Linked DNA regions of Cricetulus griseus. The protein of the gene in region 4 purifies or fractionates together with the protein of the main gene of each other region. This does not show direct contact. Links are inferred from orthologs where the notes say so. Each region holds a gene or a part of one and is shown on either strand. Other genes may lie near its edges.

Region 1 (3,871 bases), on a different chromosome or scaffold from region 4:
ATATGAGTGTTTTGCCTGCACATGTGTATGTATATGCACCAAATGTGTGCCTGGTGTCTGTTGAAGTTCCTCTGACACTGGAGTTACAGAAGGTTGTAAGCTACTATGTGCTTGGAATAGAACTCAGGTCCTCTATAAGAACAGCAAGTATTCTAACCCACTGAGCCATCTCTCCAGCCCTAGTGCTTTGCTGCTTGCTACTAAGTCTAGTTTAATCAACTGGAATTTAAGGAATGGATGGCAGTACTTACTGTAAGCATTCTGGAGTGAATTTATGCTGTCTGTACAAGTTAGTACACAGGCCCACCCAAAACCAAGCAATCGTTGGCTCCTGGTGGTAGCCAGAGATAGTTAGCTTGTGAATTTACTTCACTAATGTGTTCTTCTCCTGGCTTTGCCAGATGGTGGTCTTCAAGTACATCGAGGACAAAGATGTGTTTCAGAAGTTCTATGCAAAGATGCTTGCTAAGAGACTGGTCCATCAGAACAGTGCGAGTGACGATGCGGAAGCAAGCATGATCTCCAAGTTAAAGGTGCTGTTCTTTTCCTGGTGAACTCCCACTTCCTCCAGGGCTTTATTGATGTGGTTATTAGTCTCTCCATGCCGTCAGTGGGCAGAGGGGTTTGTGCAAATGAGCCCTGCTTGGGCTGGCCTGGGCTGGGCTCTGCTCACCATGTCCTCATCTTCGCCTGCCTCCCACCACTCAGCCTTGTTGGCTTTGGGTGAATGCTTAGCAGCTTCTTAGCACAGGCTGCCAAAACAAAACACCATGGACCAGGTGACTTAGGACAGAAATTAAGTCTCTATTTCTGAAGAGGGCATTCCTCCTGTCTTGAAGGTCACCACTTCACTTGGCAGAGTACCTGTGGAGAGCATCCTCTTACAGAGGCACCAGCCCCTGAGAGGAGCCCTACCCTCATGAACCCACAGGAGCTGGCCCACCTCCTAACACCTCCAGCACATTCTGGAGGGGACAGTTTGGAAGTAGAATAAGGGACAAGCAGATTATTTGGGATATGGGGGTGTGTGATTTGAGGGGCAGTTGTGACAGCCCAGGCTATCCTTTCACCTCTGCTTCCAAATAGATGGAAGGAAGGGAGGGAGGGAGGGAGGGAGGAGGAGGGAGGAGGAGGGAGGAGGGAGGAGGGAGGAGGAGATGGATGGATGGAGGGATGGATGGATGGATGGATGGATGGGTGGGAGGGTGGGTGGATGGATGGATGGATGGGTGGGTGGGAGAGTGGGTGGATGGATGGATGTGCACCACTACACCAGGTTGTAATCATTTCCCAATTGTAATCTACTAAAGTGGTAGAACACTTTGTTTTAAATGCTGCAATATACTTATTGCATATTAAAAACTTAATTGTTCAATTTTTAATGAACTTTTTGTCACATACTAATTTTAATCAGTATATATATATATATATATATATATATATATACTATAAGATATGACTAAGTGTTACTAGTAGTTTCATATAACAAAGATATGTTGTATTGTGATTTCTCCAAAATTCCCTTATATATGTTGTAGACATTCCATGTTTCTATATGAATTAATGAGATAATTGCCTTGGTTCATTTCAGCAAGCTTGCGGTTTTGAGTATACCTCCAAACTTCAACGAATGTTTCAAGACATTGGTGTAAGCAAAGATCTGAATGAACAGTTCAAAAAGCACCTAACAAATTCAGAACCCCTGGACTGTGAGTATTGAGTGCTCATAGAATGACTTTTTGGGACTAAACTGCAGAGGAGAGAAGTGACAGAATATGGAGTAAGGGTGGTAGATGGCGACAGAATTCCAAAGACTAAGAAAGAGAGGACCTTCTCTCCCTGTTTGGGGCGTCTCCTCTAACTCCCAGGATGCTATGATGGTAGCCTTGTCAGGACGAGATGATGCCAAGTCACATTTCCTGTAAAAGGAGGTCTTAATCGGTCTAGATAATAAAAAGCCAGAGTCAGATAGCTCAGAGATCAGAGAAGAGCAAGCCACGGAACACCTTACCTTCTTAGCATCTCAGCAGACAAAAGAGCAATTTCCTGTTTCTCCCTGCTTATATCCTGTTTCTGCCCAGCTACCTCACTTCCTGTCTGTCTGTACTGACCTACAGATCTCTGTGGTTAGCTAGAGGCAAGCTCCATTCTCTGACCCTCAGACAGGCATATCTGTATAAGCAAGATATCACCACATTTTCCAGGTTGGGCTTTGCTGATGTGTGGGCTTTTCTTCTTTTGAACCTTAGTTTGGATGCATTTCTGATTATTTTCCTTCTCTCGAGTTTTTTGATGAGAGTTGGAGAATTTTATTCTTCCCAAATTTCTACCATCATTAAGCTTAATTCTTTTGCTAGTAGACATCTAAGTTGTCTGTAAAGATAAAATTACCCTGATTTGTAGGTTATACGTGTCTCCTATCTGTCTTCACCAACTGTAATGCAGGTGGTTTTTTTGCTGTTGAGCTTTCCATGTCCTTGTATTTGGGGCTATTAAACCATTCCTGGTCACCACATACTGCTTAAGCAGACTGAACTTCATATATTAAAAAAATAAATAAAAATGAAATTTAACTTGGAACTCTCCATTGACAGTGAAGTGGAGAATTGTTGTCCTGGGGGAAAGCGGTTTCCTGTTCTACAACCTTTAGTCTGAGTTTCTGACATAGAGCATCTCGTTGTGTAGCCAGCTAGCCTGGACTTGTGGTCCTCTGTGTCTGATGTTGGGATCACAAGTATACACCACTATGTTAGGCTTCCATTTTTACTCATTTTAATTGGATAAGTTGAAACTCTCTGTGTTCAAATCTTAATTTTATATTTAAGCAAGACTTTTAATGTATTTTCTTTAATTTTGACCATTTCCTGTGTATGTGCAACAATAGAATTTTTCAATGTGTAAGAGTAATTAAATGTGTTTCCACCCCCAGTGGACTTCAGTATTCAGGTCCTCAGTTCCGGATCGTGGCCCTTTCAGCAGTCTTGCACGTTTGCCTTGCCATCAGAGGTAAGGGTTGTTACCTGATCTCTTTGAGGTGTGTGGGGAGGGCGAAGAGCAGCCTGGCCATCAGTGTGCTGAGCTGTGCTGAGCTGTGCTGAGCTGTGCTGAGCTGTGCTGAGCTGAGCGGTCAGAGCCGTGTTCGTGGAGAACAGGAAGTGGGCCTGGGTTGGTTAGCAAAAGGTGGTCAACTCTGTTGCTGCAGTATTGATTTATTCCTATAAGTGGAGAATCTCATTGGCTGCATGGTGAACTCTCTGGTACCTACTGGGCCTGGAGTAGAGACCTACTTTGGTTCTACTCTCCAGTGCCTACCGTGCTCACGAGACAGTTGTGCCTAACAGCTGTGGTTCACGTCTCTGTAAGCACTGATTTTGTTCTCAGAACTTGGGGCAAGGAGCTTTATTTAGAAATGCTGACTGTAGAATGTAGAGCCATCGATGCCACGTAGTGCTGTCCTTTCATCCAGCTGGAGCGCAGTTATCAGCGGTTTACAGCCTTCTACGCCAGTCGCCACAGCGGCAGAAAACTGACATGGTTGTATCAGCTGTCCAAAGGGGAACTAGTCACTAATTGCTTCAAAAACAGATACACTCTGCAGGTAAAACCATCTTTTTAATGGGGGGGGGAGGTTATTTTAGTACTAAATGATAAGACATATTATAGAAACCCTTCGAGATAACTCATGTGATAGGAGGAGTTCATCTCTAAAAAAGTAGTGTAGAGGGTAAAGCTCGCTTGCTGTGGTCAGGGGAGCTGAACTCATGTTCTTTTGCCTAGGGGCAAGTTACCTCCTTACTTTGAGCCTCAGTTTTCTCCTCCATTTTGAGTTAAGAGTGTTTGTGCTTACACCACAGACATGCTCTTTGGTAGG
Region 2 (4,414 bases), on a different chromosome or scaffold from region 4:
CAGCTGGGACCTCCACCCTCTGATTTTCTGCAGCTCCAGTCCTTTCATTAGCTGGACCTTCTGCCCTCTGACTATCTATGGCTTCTGCCCTCCGGTCAGGTAGGGCTTCTGTTCTCTGATTGCCTGCAACCTCAGACTCAGGCTTATCTGGGGCCTCTGCCCTCAGATTAGCTGGAGTCTCAGCCCTTGGATTAGCTGCAACCTCTGCCCTCGGATTAGCTGCAGCCTCTGCCCTCAGGTCTCCTGCAGCCTCTGCCCTCAGATCAACTGCAGCCTCTGCCCTCGGATTAGCTGCAGCCTCTGCCCTCGGATCAGCTGCAGCCTCTACCCTCGGATTAGCTGCAGCCTCTGCCCTCGGATTAGCTGCAGCCTCTGCCCTCGGATTAGCTGCAGCCTCTGCCCTCGGATCAGCTGCAATCTCTGCCCTCGGATTAGCTGCAGCCTCTGCCCTCGGATTAGCTGCAACCTCTGCCCTCGGATTAGCTGCAGCCTCTGCCCTCGGATTAGCAGCCTCTGCCCTCGGATCAGCTGCAGCCTCTGCCCTCGGCTGCATCAGCTGCAGCCTCTGCCCTCGGATTAGCTGCAGCCTCTGCCCTCGGATTAGCTATAGCCTCTGCCCTCGGATTAGCTGCAGCCTCTGCCCTCGGATTAGCTATAGCCTCTGCCCTCGGATTAGCTGCAGCCTCTGCCCTCGGATTAGCTGCAGCCTCTGCCCTCGGATTAGCTGCAGCCTCTGCCCTCGGATTAGCTATAGCCTCTGCCCTCGGATTAGCTGCAGCCCCTGCCCTCGGATTAGCTGGAGCTCCTACCCTCCGATTGGCTGCAGCCCCTGCCCTCGGATCAGCTGCAGCCTCTGCCCTTGGATTAGCTGCAGCCTCTGCCCTCCGATTGGCTGCAGCCCCTGCCCTCCGATTGGCTGCAGCCCCTGCCCTCGGATTAGCTGCAGCCTCTGCCCTCGGATTGGCTGCAGCCCCTGCCCTCCGATTGGCTGCAGCCCCTGCCCTCCGATTGGCTGCAGCCCCTGCCCTCGGATTAGCTGCAGCCTCTGCCCTCGAATTGGCTGCAGCCCCTGCCCTCCGATTGGCTGCAGCCCCTGCCCTCCGATTGGCTGCAGCCCCTGCCCTCGGATTAGCTGCAGCCCCTGCCCTCGGATTAGCTGCAGCCCCTGCCCTCGGATTAGCTGGAGCCTCTGCCCCCTGGATCTCTGCAGCCTCTGGGGGCCCCTGGGCTGGCATGCCTGTGCCCTGAGCTGGGAGTGGCGCCGCCTGCTCCTTCCTGGACCGCCTCAAGGAGACCCACTTGAATTTGGGATTCCAGCAGCTGGTACCCTGTGTCTGGTCGCTCCCATCCTCCGAGTTTCTGGAGCCATCGTCCCCCCTGGTGAGGCTGTGTCTCAGTCCTCCAGCCCTCTCAGCTGCCATGGAGGCCTGCTGGGCCTCGCCCACCTCGGAGCCTGACCTGGGTGCCCAGCCCTTTACCCTCTGTTTCAGCTTCCCCCAGGACACCTGACTGACATACTCCCGCCATCTGTCCGCCTTGGATGGCCTGGGACCCAGGTTGTTCTCAAACATGGGCACTGGCAGATTGACTCGGCGTCGTGGAGGAGGCAGGCCGGGCTTCTTCTCTCCCCGGCGGAGGAAGGCCTCCACCAGCTCCTGATCATCCTCGCTCTCCACGTCGCTGCCCAGGAATTTGCTGCCCAAGTAACTGACCGGCATTTTGCGCACCTTTCTGGTCCTCTGGGAGCCCCTGTTGCCTTTGACTTTGGAGGTCTCCAAGTCACTCAACTCGCTGTCGCTGGCGTTGCTGCTGTCATAGGTGCCTACAATCAGCCGGAGTGGAGGAGTGACCATCTGGGGGATTGCCCTCACTCGGGGCTCCTTGGCTCTCTTGCGGGGCTGGGGTGGGTGTGGAGTACTCTTTTCGATGATTCGGGCCACGTCTTCCAGGGTGCGGCCCTCCTCCTGCAGAAACTGCATCAGCCGCTCGCGAAACACAGCTTCCTTGGTGGCGGGCTTGGAGATGACCCTCCACACGCCCCCAGCCAGCCGGACCTCCCGGGGGATGAGCAGATAGTCAACATCCTCCCCAATCTGCAACATTCCCACCGTGGAGTCCTCCTCTTTGCGGAACACCTTCCCGATCTTCTTAAAGGTGCCCACGGGCCTTAAGGCCTCCACCAACACGTCCAGATCGACATCTTTGCAGACATCAGGGACACTCCAGAGGATCAGGCAATCGGGGGAGGGGAGGAAGCCCCAGGGGAACCATCCCCCCACGTGGCTTTTCTCGAGAGTCTTTAAGATCTCCAGAGTGGACTCTGGGGCGGGGGGGCAAGAAGCCCAAACAAACAAACAAAAAACTTGCTTCTAGTCTTGGGGAGAGGGCAGAGAGGGTTCCAGCAACTCTCTGCTCACGCAGAGTGTCACCTCCCCGCAGTTTGCTCCGCAGGCGATGAGTCCAAGTTGGGTTTCTCTCACCCCTCGGAGTTGTAGCGAGCAATTTTCCAGGGTGCTTACGGGAAGAGAGAGGTGAGGTCAGTCCCGAGGCTCAAAGCTCGGTCCAAACTGGAATCGCCAGCGTCCCCGCTCCAAGCTGGGAACGCACGGGCTCTGATCTCTGATCGCTTCTCCCTTGGCCCCGACACCCCGGGGTGCAGCTGAAAGTTTGTGGGAGGACTCTGCAAACAAAGGCGGCTCAGCGTGGTGGCCGTTCAATATGGCGAGGAGCTTCAAGGCCTCCGCCCAGCACCGAGGAGGGTCTCCCGCCCCCAGGAAGGCAGCCACCCGCTCCAGGCTGACCTTGCTTGCTGTCTGTCTGCGGTGGAGCTGAGAGTGGCAGGAAGTTTCTGGGCGCCCTCCCCTCCTGGGTGAGGCCCACCTTCTTCTCATCTTACACTCTCAGCCTGGGAAGACTGGCAGCGGAGCTGTCCACTCCCTTCAGGGCAACCTCCCTCTCCTCCCCACAGAGGTGTGGCCGCCCCCTAGGGCCTCGCTGGGGCCACGGCTTCCCATCTCAGCTTCCAAAACCCACGTCATCATGTCCTCCTCCCCCCCAACCCCCGCCCCCGAAAGGCAGCGGGTCTCCAACCTGCCATACTCGACGTGCAAGGCTAAGGCCAGTGGACTTACCGGGATGGGACCAGAGAGATGGCTCAATGGTTAAGAGCCTGGGCTGCTCTTGCAGAGGCCTTGCGTTGAGTCCCAGGACCCACGTGATGGCTCCTAATCCTCTGTTACTCCAGGCCCAGGGGATCCAACACCCCCTTCTGATCTCTGTGGGCACTAATGCACATACATAGCCGCAGGCAAGACATTCATGCACATAAAAAAGGGACCCACAAGATAACTCAGTGGGTAAAAACATTTGCCATGCAAGCCTGATGACCTGAATTCAATCCCCAGAACCCACATAAAACCAACTCCACAAATCGTTGTCCCAGGGCTGGAGAGATAGCTCAGAGGTTAAGAGCACTGGCTGCTCTTCCAGAGGTCCTGAGTTCAATTCCCAGCAACCATATGGTGGCTCACAACCATCCATTATGAGATAATGGTACCCTCTTCTGGTGTGCAGATAGACATGGAAGCAGAATGTTGTATTCATAATAAATAAATGAATCTTTTTTTTTTTAAAAAAAGAAGGTTGTCCAATCTCCACACGCATAGATTAAACATATGCAAATATATACACAATGATAAAATTTTAAAATACAATATTTTCTTTAAAAAATCTTTTAAGATCAAAGAGATATTGTGGTACCTTAGTTCTTAATTTACTATGTATCCCACGTGACCTCAAACTTACAGTGATCCTCCTGCCTCATACTCTGACTACTGGTCTTCTGGGCGTGCATGGGCTACCATGCCAGGATGAAAGACAATGTTTTCAACAACAACAAAAATTAAGTAAAGAAGTGACTTTAGGGGTTGGAGAGATGGCTCAGTGGTTAAGAATGCTGACCACTCTTCCAGAGGATGCGGGTTCAATTCCCAGCACCCATGTGGCAGCTCACAACTGTCTGTAACCCCAGTTCCCAGGGACCCAACACCCTTGCACAGGAATACATGCAGGCAAAACAGCAATGAACATAAAAATAAATACATCCTTTTTAAAAGGGTTAATATCAACATATAACAATTAATTTAATACCAATATAAAAACATCTACCAGACATGGAGTGCACACTTGTGATCCCAGTACTTGGAGGATGAAGAGACTAAGGTCATTCTCAGTTACAAAGAGAGTTCAAAGCCAGCCTGGGCTACAAGAGACCCTGTCTCAAATAACAACCCCAGGGGCTGGAGAGGTGACTCAGTGACTAAGAGCCCTTGGTGCTCTTGAAAAAGAGCTGGATTTGGTTCCCAGCACCCACATGGTCACTCACAGTCACCCAGTTGCAGGGGATCGGACACTT
Region 3 (3,871 bases), on a different chromosome or scaffold from region 4:
TTGTCTGTATTGTTTCTATTTTACAACAAGGTGGAGCTTTATTTGTTATTCATTTATTTTTTAGGGCAAGGTCTCTATTATGTTGCTCTCCTTAGTTTTGGGATAGACCACTGTGCCAGGCTAGGCTGAATTCTTTTGAAAAGCATAGCAATTCATAGCACTAATCTTCACTGCTTCTTTTGTCTTGTTGGTTTTTTAAGCTAGTAAAAATGAACTTAAATTTTTTACATTATAATCAATAGATTCTGGTCTATTGAATGTATTTCTATTGTTTTGTTTTGTTTTCTCTGTGTTACAGTTCTGGCTGTCTTGGAACTCACTTTGTAGATCCGCCTGCCTCTGTCTCCCCAAGTGCTGGGATTAAAGGTGTGTGCCACCACTACCTGGTCCTCAAATATATTTTAAATATTGAGTTGAGTTTGTGATCATTGCTGTAATAGAATGCTTTTTAGATTCTGGGAACATGGTACATTGTACTTTAAAATGCATTATTTGAATTACTAATTTGGTAACCCAGATAACTTTGCAGATTTACTAATGCATCATCAAAGTATTTATTGCCGCCTCTGTTTTTGTTGTAGGTTTTCTGTTGGATAAAAAGATTGGAGTAAATCAACCAAAGAGAATTGAAAATGCTAAAATTCTTATTGCAAATACTGGAATGGATACCGACAAAATAAAAGTACATGACTATATTTCTTGAAATTCTATTGCTGATTGCTGTTAATCAGGAGTCAAGTACATTAAACAGCTTGGGATCTGTTTGAAAATAATATATATGCCCACATATACTTTGTTCATAAAAATACTGTGTTATAGAACTTTATAGAACTTTAAAGAGGAGTGAGACTTAACTCTGTCTTTATGTCTTTCATCTTAGATATTTGGCTCTCGGGTCAGAGTTGATTCCACGGCAAAGGTTGCCGAAATAGAGCATGCAGAAAAGGAAAAGATGAAGGAGAAGGTTGAGCGTATTCTTAAGCATGGGATAAATTGCTTTATTAACAGGTCTGTGTTTGCTTGTGCTGACAGTGTTTTCAGCAAACCCTAAAGTTATTTTTGTTTCCATGTGAATTTATTTCCTGTCAAATTGCTTACTGTTAGAAACTGTTGTATATGGTTTACTTACAGTTACAGATTGTTGCAACTCAAGCAATCAGCTAAGACATACTCAGTGGACTGTTAGTTAGATTAGAGGCAAGTTTTACATGTTCTAAGGTTCCTCAATCCTTGTTGCTAGTCTCAGTACTTTATTGTACTGTACTCAGTTTTTCATGTTGTGATAAAAGGATACAGTGCTTGATGTGGTAGATGAAGTGAGGCTAATTAGTTGGGTGTTGTCACTTAAAGTACAGTAGTCAGTCTTGAGCACTCACAGTGAGATAACATCCATCTTCTAATGTAGAGAGAGGGCCACTAAGGGACTAGTAGACAGAAGAACACACTGGATTCACCAGAGGACTGATGATTCATTCATGCAGTTGTGGGACAGTGTACAGCAATGTCAGATTCTTCTGGATACTCAGGATAGGGAATGGCTTCAATATGATGAATTGTTTCTCTTGGAATTTCTGAGGGAGTGATTCTAGCTGGAACCTGAGAAATGAATCTCTTAAGGGGGAGACTCTTGGGTAGAAATAGCTTTCTTGAAGATTTTTAGCATTTCATTGCTGTAGATTACTGGTTTGGGGTTGTTTTGTTTTTTAATTTCTTTTTTGCCTTTGCTATGGAGGTTAGAGAGCTTGTGGGAATGGGATCTCTCCCATTTGAGACCCAAGGATTGAGCATACATCATCAGGCTGGTTTTGTTTGTTTGTTTGTTTGTTTGCGGCGAAGTAAAATGTTTACAGGTTTTGTATTTCATCATGAGAAGTGGCCATTTTGAGCATAAAGTTCCTTTGTATTTTGTTTGCAGACAGTTAATTTATAATTATCCCGAACAACTGTTTGGTGCTGCTGGTGTCATGGCTATTGAACATGCAGATTTTGCAGGTGTGGAACGCCTGGCACTTGTCACAGGTATGGAAAAAGACATTAGTTTCTAGCAAGTATAATTACCATTCTTGTATTTATTGAGCATTACTGTGCAGTGCATTGCTGAGAATAAGAAGAAACCCCTTAAAGAGCTAAGGGTATATAAGTAGTTATTCTGAATTTTGCCTTTAGTTACATTGTTTGAAGAATTATATTGATTTTTGTATGTTTTGGGTGCATATGAGCCATGGCTAGCATGTCTCTTCCCTTGTGAGTCTTGGGTCTCAAACTCAGGTCATAAGGCTTGGTGGCAAATATCTTTATAGTATTCTGAATTATCTTACTGGTCCCAGAAGTAGTAGTAAGTAGTTAGTAGTAGTAGTAGTAGTAGTAGTAGTAGTAGTAGTAGTAGTAGTAGTTTTCTCTCTTAGAAATGCTTGGTGCTTGGTACTCAAGTTTCTCAGATTTTGGATCTTGGGTGTGTGGAGTGAACTACTTGATCATGCATAGTGAGATAACGGGGTAAAATTCAAGTCTAAACATGGAATTCATTTTTATTAGATATGTATGCCTCATACACAAAGATATCTTCAATATTTTTGGTTGACTTGCGTTTTTACTGGTCCATTGCGTGGACTCAGATACAGTATTTTCTACTTCAGTTATTTTTGTTCTTAAAAAGTTGCACATTTAGGTTTCAGTTTATGAATGTTTAATATGTATACCAAATTATATAAATGCTAGGTTTGCCATGGCTGTGGAATTCTTTTTGTTGTTGTGTTTCAGGACACCTAGTTCTTTCACACAAATATAAAGATTAGTTTTCTAGGTATAGTCTAAACAAATTGGAGCTTTAAAAAGTGAATCCAAAAACAGCCTCAAACCCACAGAGATCCGCCTGCCTCTGTCTTCCTAGTGTTGGTATTATAGGCGTGTGCCACCATGCCCAGCTGAGAGCTATTTTAACCCTGTAATGTGTTTATGATCATAGGTGGTGAGATTGCCTCCACTTTTGATCACCCGGAGCTGGTGAAGCTTGGAAGCTGCAAACTTATTGAGGAAGTCATGATTGGAGAAGACAAACTCATCCACTTTTCTGGAGTTGCCCTTGGTGAGTGACTATGTAAATTTTGGCTTAAGTATCTAGGTCCTTGTTGGCCTCTTGAAGCAAAAGAAAAGTTACCGTAGTGCTAAAATACATTCTATAGGTGAGACGGTGAATCAGGTGCTTGGTGCTGAGATTGATGACCTAAGTTCCTTCTCTGGGACACATACAGTAGAAGGAGAGAACCAGTTTCCCCTTACTAACATGCATGCATACCCCCACACACATACACCCAAAGATTAATACGTGCAGTGGATATATAAGCATGCATACTCCCCCACACACACACCCAAAGATTAATACGTGGAGTGGATATATACGGACAAATATAAAGTAAATTTTGAGAGGGCCTATTTTTTGTTTTGTTTCAGTGTCTTGAGGTCTTACGTTGATATTTGCTGTGCCTTTTTGAAATGTGTACATTTAGCATAGATTTTCTTGATTAACTTAAGAGTACTTACAAACATGGATTTTTGCAGAGAAAGCATTGCATGGTAGATGACATCAGCTACCAAAACCCAATAATAGTCATGCATACATAAATAATGAAATGCAAATAACTGTGTGGTATGTGACTACATGGAAACTGACATGAATATTATATTTGATGTTAGGTGAGGCTTGTACTATTGTACTTCGTGGTGCCACACAACAAATTTTGGATGAAGCTGAAAGGTCTTTGCATGATGCCCTTTGTGTTCTTGCCCAGACTGTGAAAGATCCTAGGACAGTCTATGGAGGAGGTAAGTATTTGGAAAGTGTTAAATTCTTTCTTGACTTGTAAAAACTAAT
Region 4 (3,871 bases):
GAGCCCTTGCTTATTAGCAAGTGAAGCCCTAGTTCCTAAAGAGAGAGAATGGTTAAACAAGACTTCAAACAATCACCATAGTCTGACTTCACTGGGAAAACACCAAAAACAAACAAGGTAACAAAACTGAAGGCAAAACAGACAAACTGAGCAATCAAGTCCTTCCTTTGGGAACCAGAGCCTTTCCAGCTCGGAGAAGGAAACAAGAGAGAAGAATCCGGTGCCTCCTCCTTGCCCCTTCCTGGGAAGTCACTCCGGTGGCTTCCCCAGGGGCTCCCCAGCTAGGAATGAGGGAAGGGCTGACCCAGCACAAACTGCTGCCTTCCAGAGAGGCCTTTTGCTGCCACTCTGGGTCTTATATGTAGAAGCCAGGATGCTTCAATTTTTGAGCACCACACTACCCCAAACAATGGCACCTATGAATCATATTTGACTGCACAGTTCAAATATATGGGGGGAAATGAAACATACAAATACCATTGGAGCCTGGAATCCAAGTGTGAGCAGCAGAGAAGAGGAAATACAACAGGGCTGACTGAGCTGCGCTGACGTGAACCAAGTACACCCTTCAGTGGAGCCCAAGCTTATCAGCAGGTACTGCCGGAACCATTTACAAAAGAGGAAACAGGCAGGGGCTGGGGAGACAGACACTCAGCAGCTAAGAGCACTGGCTGCTCTTGCAGAGGACCCAGGTTCAGTTCCCAGCTCCAATAATAGCTCAAAACCACCTGTATGTAACTCCAGTTCCAGGGGATCCAAAGCCCTCTCTGACCTCTAAGGGCACATAGCATGCATGAGGTGCACAGAAATACACATAAAATATAAAATACATTAATCTAAATTTTTTAAGAGAGAGAGGCAGAAGGAGGTCTAGGCAACCTGCCTGAGGTCACACTGGGTCATAGGAGACAGGGCTGGGCAGCTTATGTGCAGAGCCTGCCTCTCCAATTCACACCACTGCTGTGTAGGAAAGGGAACTCCTTCATTAGGAGAAGGAGCCCTTGGCTCAGGTGTTTCTTCCCAGGAAGACCCTGACTGCCAGTGGGGTAGAGAGCAGCAAACCAAAAGGAACCTAAAGCCAAAAGAAATCCACACATCTCCCCTGATCCCACCCAAAAGGGGCGAGTTCTGTAAACCAGCTTTAAGACTGAGGACTTGGCCTGCAATCATATGCTAAAATGCGGCGATAACACGGCCATCAGCCGGGCGTTGGTGGCTCACGCCTTTAATCCCAGCACTCAGGAGACAGAGGCAGGCGGATCTCTGTAAGTTTGAGACCAGCCTGGTCTACAAGAGCTAGTTCCAGGACAGCCTCCAAAGCCACAGAGAAACCCTGTCTCGAAAAACCAACAAAACAAAACAAAAAAACACGGCTATCACCCAAGAGTTAACAAAAGACTTTCTTCCTGTCTGGCTCACACACAGCAGCAGGCACTTTCATGCAGCTAATGACAACAAAAACTATAACGTAAAATTTTCATTTTATTTCCTAATTTTATTATATTACTGTGTATATGTGCATGGGGCACATGCCATGGTAATACATGGGTGGAGGTCTGAGGATAATTTTGTGGAGTTGGCTCTTCTCCTTCCAGGGATAGAACTTGGGTCATCAGGTTTGTGTAGCAAATATCTTGACTTGCCTAACTGTCTCACTGGCTCTGCCTTAGAATGTGATTTAGCAATGACCATCTACATGGTGATGCATTTCCTAAAGACAGACTGCACAAGGATCTCTGCAAGTTGCAGTGTGTGGTGCAGCATTCCCTGAGGTGGCCCAAACAACAAGGGTGGCCTACATACATACACACCAGTGAGAGTATTGGCTACACAGCCTATGAGCTCTAAACACACACTGGAACTCTAGGGCAGAGCTGGGACATGAGATATGAAACGCTGTCTGAGGTACATTGCTGAGTAAATGCTACACACAGAACAGGGCACAAACCATGACCCCACGCCTGCAAAGACCTGCCCCTTGTCAACAGACGTGTCTACATATGCTAGATTCTTGTCCTTAGACATCTGGAAATCACTAATAACCAACCATGTACAGTCAAGAAGATACTCTTCATCTCATGTTCCATTTACTTGCTTGGATTTTTCTGCCATGCTAATACACTGCCCTGACACGGTTGAAAACAAGAGTATTAACACATCACATCGTAAGGCATAGTGGTTCACACCGCTACTCTGAGCACTTGGGAGGAGGCAGGGCAGGAGGCTACATAGTGAGTTCAAGGCCAGCCTAGGATATCCAAGACCCTATTTCAAGTAACTAAACCAAACCAAAACAAGAAGAGCTTAATTTTCCAGCTACATTTAAAAAATTAAATACATGCTATTTCTTGCTAATGTACAAGTCACTGTTTCCGTACCTTGTTTCCTTCATATACCCATCCCAGACTCTTGACTCCAAAGGCAACCTGGGTGGCTGAGACATCCAGACATGTGGCAGGCTGGCCGTAGACATAATGAAGGGTTCTGGCTGAGTCCTCGGCCTTCAGCAGGTATACCAGGTCCCCAGCTGTGGCTATTGCCACGGGGTACCTCCCAGTATCCGGGACTATTTCCAGGTAGTCAACCTGCAAAGAGAGTTGTTTAGTCACCCACAGTCATTTTGACTTGTTCAAGAAAGGAATGTCCCCTGTACATCAAGAGGACAAAGGCCTAACTCACAGAAACAGTTGGGCACAGGGATCATTTATAGGGGATGAATATGGCTTCTGCCCAGATGAAAAGATGCCTGTAACAGCGGAAACACAACGTACTCTGAGAAGGGAAGCCACAAGGGAAAGTCTACGGAGACCCCATTTTCCACCTGTCGATCCATGAGGATCAGGGGAAGTCAGAGGTTACAGAGCTGGAGGTGAACAGGGGACATAATCCAGTCCAACTCCTTCTCTGGAATGACTGGCAATGCCTACCACAGCGGCAAGCTCACGCTGACCCAGGAGATCCCTCTAGCAGTGCTTACACACCATGCACAGCAAAGGTTTATGCATGGTGTCACTACAGTGCCCCTCCTGTCACTGTGCAGACATGACACAGACACACAGCAAATGCCATACATCCACAGGAGAAAACCTGAAAGCTGCTTATGATTCAGTGGGATCACAGTGGAGATGAACTGGGTCTGGGGGAGCAAGGGAACAGTATTCCTAGTGGGTTGCCCCCAAAATTCTGGCAGATGGGCGGAGCTTCAACACACTTGGCTCAGGCCTGGGTATGTCTGGTAACAATGGCTATCTTCAAGGGTGGAAGCAGGCTGAGATGGAAAGGCATTTCCAGCTGTTCTGGGTCTTATAAATCCTGAACATGGCAGTGTCTAGAGCTATCCTTAATTATTTTGTTGTTTTACCAGAAAGTGAAAAAGTAACACTCCACCAGTTCCAAATGCAGAAAAACATTCTGGAAAACGTGTAGGTACCACAAAGGCATCACCAGAGGATCCAAACTGTGTTCTTAGCTCTCTCCTCTCTGCCTGTCAGGCACTGATCACCCTGTGCCATCTTTCATCTGAGGATAGAGACCAGTACAGACAAAACACACGCTTGTCGGTGTCTTCTCTGACTGCACAGGGGGAAGATGACTCTTTAGGATGATCCGCTTCTCCCCAGAGCAGTCTTCATCAGGCACACCTGCTTAGAGTGTGGGTGCTGAGGGTGAATCCACTGTGGAATTATAAAAATCCGTGGTGTAAAGGACAGCATCACCCTGACAATATGCCAGAGGCTCTCAAAAGCCCGAGTTTTGCAGGCTGCCCTGGGGAGCTGAGCACAAGCAAACATCCGGTGCCTGTGCTAATCCTGGGCCCAAACTGCACCGAGGCAGCCCAACATCTTGGGCTGTGTGTCCATCACAAAGGCCA
Region 5 (3,130 bases), on a different chromosome or scaffold from region 4:
TGTGCCAAGCAGGTTGCAGCCATACCCTTTGAGTTGTGTTCAATTGTTTTAGAGACAAAAATCCCTGAGTTGAGAGGCTTGTCCTCCTGCCTGTCTGGGCCTCCTGAGGGGGCTCTGCTCTTCGCCTGCTGTGATTTGCCCAGTCTAGAGTCTCATCTCCAGCCAACACTTTGAGACTAAATGTGACCATTGAGGGAGGAGCACACACCCACTCTTTGGTTCTGTTTTTGAGACAAGGTCTCTGTGTAGCTCTGGCTGGCCTAGAACTCACTATGCAGACTACCTTCCATGCTAGTCACATGCTAGACTCAAACTCTTAGAGATCCATTTGATTCTTCCTCCAGAGTTCTGGGATAAAGGTGTACTCCACTATGCCTGGACACACCCACTCATAAAGCCCTTTCTTGTGGCCTGTCTTAGAAGACTTATACCTCTATCTCCCCCTATTCCCTGTCCCTCTAAGGAAGTCTTACCTCCTGAATCCTATACCCCCTGCACAAGGGCATGCTGGGATGCTATGGTTGTAGCCTTGCAGGCTTCTGATTTCAGCACCTACTCCAACTCTCTGTCCCTTTCTCAGTAGCCAACCCTTGTCCCCAAAGCCCAAGCCCTCTTCCCAGTTGCTTACTCTTGTTGTAGAAGTTGGAGTAGTGGTTTAAAGTCCCCCTCAGATATGAGGGCAGGCGTGCCGTAGAACTGAGCATGTGGCAGACCGAGGTGACAGGCCAGTAGCGTGGAGACAGCACAAGCACACACACTTCTGGCATTGTCCCTTCATAATATAGCTCCTCCTCCCCCTCCTCCTCCTGCTCCTCCTCCTGCTCCTCCTCCCTCTCCTCCTCTTTCTCCTCCTCTTTCTCCTCCTCCTCTTCTGCCATAGCCACAGCTGCTATCTCTCTAGCAGCCTCTTCCTTCTTGCTCTTGTGCTCCTTGACACTGTCCTCATGGGCCACCTGAAAGGGAACAAATTTCACAAATGCTGAAGGCCTCCTCTCACCTCTTCCTTGCCCATCCCTTCCCTGGAACCCACCTGTATCTTCTTTTCTGTGTCTTCCAGCTTCAGGAGCTCCTGATCGAGCTGCTGGAGCTGAAAAACATGGAACTGACGCTGCAGCTCCTCTGAGATGCTCAGACTCTGTAGCATCTGTTGGGGAAGACGGTTGGGGAAGCAGAGGCCAATCTGCTCCATCACAGCCCCCTCCAGCCAGCTCGAGCCTACGCTCAGGAGACGGTCAGCCATGTAATGCCTGTAGCACACACAGTTGGGCCAGATCTCAGCGTGGGTGCCAGTTTGACCCAAGTTCTCACTCTGTCCTGTCTGTGTCTCAGACTCAGACCCTGTGAGCTGGCCCTGCCCCACAACAGAGAGCTTGCCTTCCCCATTTCCTACTCAACAGATCCAAACTCACTGGTAGTAATGCTCAAAGGTAGTGGCTATCTCCAGGCGAGAGAAAATAACGACAGACTCCAGGCATCGCTGAAGCTGTGCCAGCATCTCCATTCCCCGGGCTCCACCCATCCTACTGCCTTGGATCCGCTGGTCAATGTGCCGAGCAAACTGCTCAGTCACCTGAGTAGAGAGCATAGGAAAACCACAAGTGAATGAGCCAGGGCTGAGGAAGCAGGTATGATGGCCACCACCTGCATCCATCCCTCAGCCTCCACGCCCCCTTCAGGAGGTGCTGGGGATGGAATCAGAACTAATAGTCATACACAGAACCACAGCCCTGGCCTAGCAGACACTTTCATTCACAGGCAAGCAAATGAGCAACACTAACAACTCTGAAAAGTCAAGTTCCCCCACACTGTGTCTAAAAATCAAATCATTTAAAAATGAAATCACTAGGCATGACAGCACACATCTATTATCCTAGCGCTGGAGAGGTGGAGGCAGAAGGATTAGGAATTAAGGAGGGGCAGGGAGTGTAACTCTCCATCAGTAGAGCGAGCACATGCCTAGCAAGCACAGGCCCTGGGTTCAATCCCCAGCACCACACAGTATACATGCCTGAACTCCAGCACTCAGGACACAAGGCAGGAGGATCAGAAGTTCCAAGTCATTCTGGGACTACATAGTGAGTTTAAGGCAAGCTTGGAATATATGAACCTTTGAAAAAGTTGAGTGTGGTAGCCCAGCACTCGGGAGGCATAGGCAGGCCTGAGTTTAAGAGTAGGAGGCCAGGGGCTGGAGAGATCGCTCAGCGGTTAAGAGCACTGGCTGTTCTTCCAGAGGACCTGGTTCAATTCCCAGCACCCACATGGCAGCTCACAACTGTCCAGTTCCAGGAGATCTAACACCTTCACACCAATGCACATAAAATAAATTTAAACTAGTTTTTTTTAAAAAAAAAAAAGACTAGGAGGCCAAGTTGAGACTCTCTCCTCTCCCTCCCTCTCTCTCCTCTCTCTCCTCTGTCTGTCTATCTTAACATGGTGTATGTAGGGCTGGAGAGATGGCTCAGAGGTTAAGAGCACTCACTGCTCTTCCAGAGGTCCTGAGTTCAATTCCCAGCAACCATATGGTGGCTCACAACCATCCGTTATGAGATCTGGTGCCTTCTTCTGGTGTGCAGATATACATGGAAGCAGAATGTTGTATACATAATAAATAAAATCTTAAAAAAAATTTAATTCCCAGCAACCACATGGTGGTTCACACCCACTTTGAATGAGATCTGGTGCTCTCTGGCATGCAGGCAGAAGACTGTATAGATAACGAATAAATAAAATCTTTAAAAAAAATGGTGTACGTAATGAATTTTTCCTAATTTCCAAGATATGGTCACATACAACTACCGCTCATCACAGAATCGAGACTGAGGTGGTCCACTCTGGGGAGGCAGGAGAGAGTTTACAGGGAGAGGATCAGGGTCCAGTATGGGAAGGAGCTTACATGGGTAGCTCTGAGGAAAGGGAGCCGCAGCAAGGCATCGGCACAGCCATTCTGCATGGCTAGCAAGAAGGCAGCCCGTGGCCCAAACAGCTCAGAGCTCGACTTCTGCAGCTTATAGAAGAGCTCACAATAGCGTGGCACAAAGGCGTCATCTTTCCAGGATGAGGTCAGAAAGTTGTTCACCTGAAATGAGGGGGCAGGAGCATGAAGCCGCATCAATCTGCTGCCGTCAGAGTG

The links.
Region 1: the proteins of Fbxw8 (region 4) and Cul1 purify together in Homo sapiens (affinity purification with western blotting; 9 studies listed by BioGRID and IntAct, with this or other methods). This does not show direct contact. The link is inferred for Cricetulus griseus from reciprocal best matches to the Homo sapiens genes FBXW8 and CUL1.
Region 2: the proteins of Fbxw8 (region 4) and coiled-coil domain-containing protein 8-like purify together in Homo sapiens (affinity purification with mass spectrometry; 3 studies listed by BioGRID and IntAct, with this or other methods). This does not show direct contact. The link is inferred for Cricetulus griseus from reciprocal best matches to the Homo sapiens genes FBXW8 and CCDC8.
Region 3: the proteins of Fbxw8 (region 4) and Cct2 purify together in Homo sapiens (co-immunoprecipitation; 3 studies listed by BioGRID and IntAct, with this or other methods). This does not show direct contact. The link is inferred for Cricetulus griseus from reciprocal best matches to the Homo sapiens genes FBXW8 and CCT2.
Region 5: the proteins of Fbxw8 (region 4) and Cul7 purify together in Homo sapiens (affinity purification with western blotting; 12 studies listed by BioGRID and IntAct, with this or other methods). This does not show direct contact. The link is inferred for Cricetulus griseus from reciprocal best matches to the Homo sapiens genes FBXW8 and CUL7.

What each region holds. Positions count from the first base shown.
Region 1 is NW_023276806.1:222,430,747-222,434,617, reverse strand, and holds part of Cul1 (cullin-1), read left to right. Parts: intron 1-401; coding exon 402-533; intron 534-1,591; coding exon 1,592-1,709; intron 1,710-2,929; coding exon 2,930-3,006; intron 3,007-3,466; coding exon 3,467-3,598; intron 3,599-3,871. UniProt on the Homo sapiens protein: Core component of multiple cullin-RING-based SCF (SKP1-CUL1-F-box protein) E3 ubiquitin-protein ligase complexes, which mediate the ubiquitination of proteins involved in cell cycle progression, signal transduction and transcription.
Region 2 is NC_048602.1:11,621,380-11,625,793, reverse strand, and holds the start of coiled-coil domain-containing protein 8-like, read right to left. Parts: upstream 2,897-4,414; 5' UTR 2,103-2,896; coding exon 561-2,102; intron 512-560; coding exon 1-511. UniProt on the Homo sapiens protein: Core component of the 3M complex, a complex required to regulate microtubule dynamics and genome integrity. It is unclear how the 3M complex regulates microtubules, it could act by controlling the level of a microtubule stabilizer.
Region 3 is NW_023276806.1:139,267,189-139,271,059, reverse strand, and holds part of Cct2 (T-complex protein 1 subunit beta), read left to right. Parts: intron 1-581; coding exon 582-682; intron 683-880; coding exon 881-1,008; intron 1,009-1,915; coding exon 1,916-2,019; intron 2,020-2,965; coding exon 2,966-3,085; intron 3,086-3,693; coding exon 3,694-3,822; intron 3,823-3,871. UniProt on the Homo sapiens protein: Component of the chaperonin-containing T-complex (TRiC), a molecular chaperone complex that assists the folding of actin, tubulin and other proteins upon ATP hydrolysis.
Region 4 is NC_048597.1:97,991,265-97,995,135, forward strand, and holds part of Fbxw8 (F-box/WD repeat-containing protein 8), read right to left. Parts: intron 2,586-3,871; coding exon 2,379-2,585; intron 1-2,378. UniProt on the Homo sapiens protein: Substrate-recognition component of the Cul7-RING(FBXW8) ubiquitin ligase complex, which mediates the ubiquitination and subsequent proteasomal degradation of target proteins.
Region 5 is NW_023276806.1:256,078,703-256,081,832, reverse strand, and holds part of Cul7 (cullin-7), read right to left. Parts: intron 3,077-3,130; coding exon 2,894-3,076; intron 1,571-2,893; coding exon 1,410-1,570; intron 1,248-1,409; coding exon 1,031-1,247; intron 954-1,030; coding exon 629-953; intron 1-628. UniProt on the Homo sapiens protein: Core component of the 3M and Cul7-RING(FBXW8) complexes, which mediate the ubiquitination and subsequent proteasomal degradation of target proteins. Core component of the 3M complex, a complex required to regulate microtubule dynamics and genome integrity.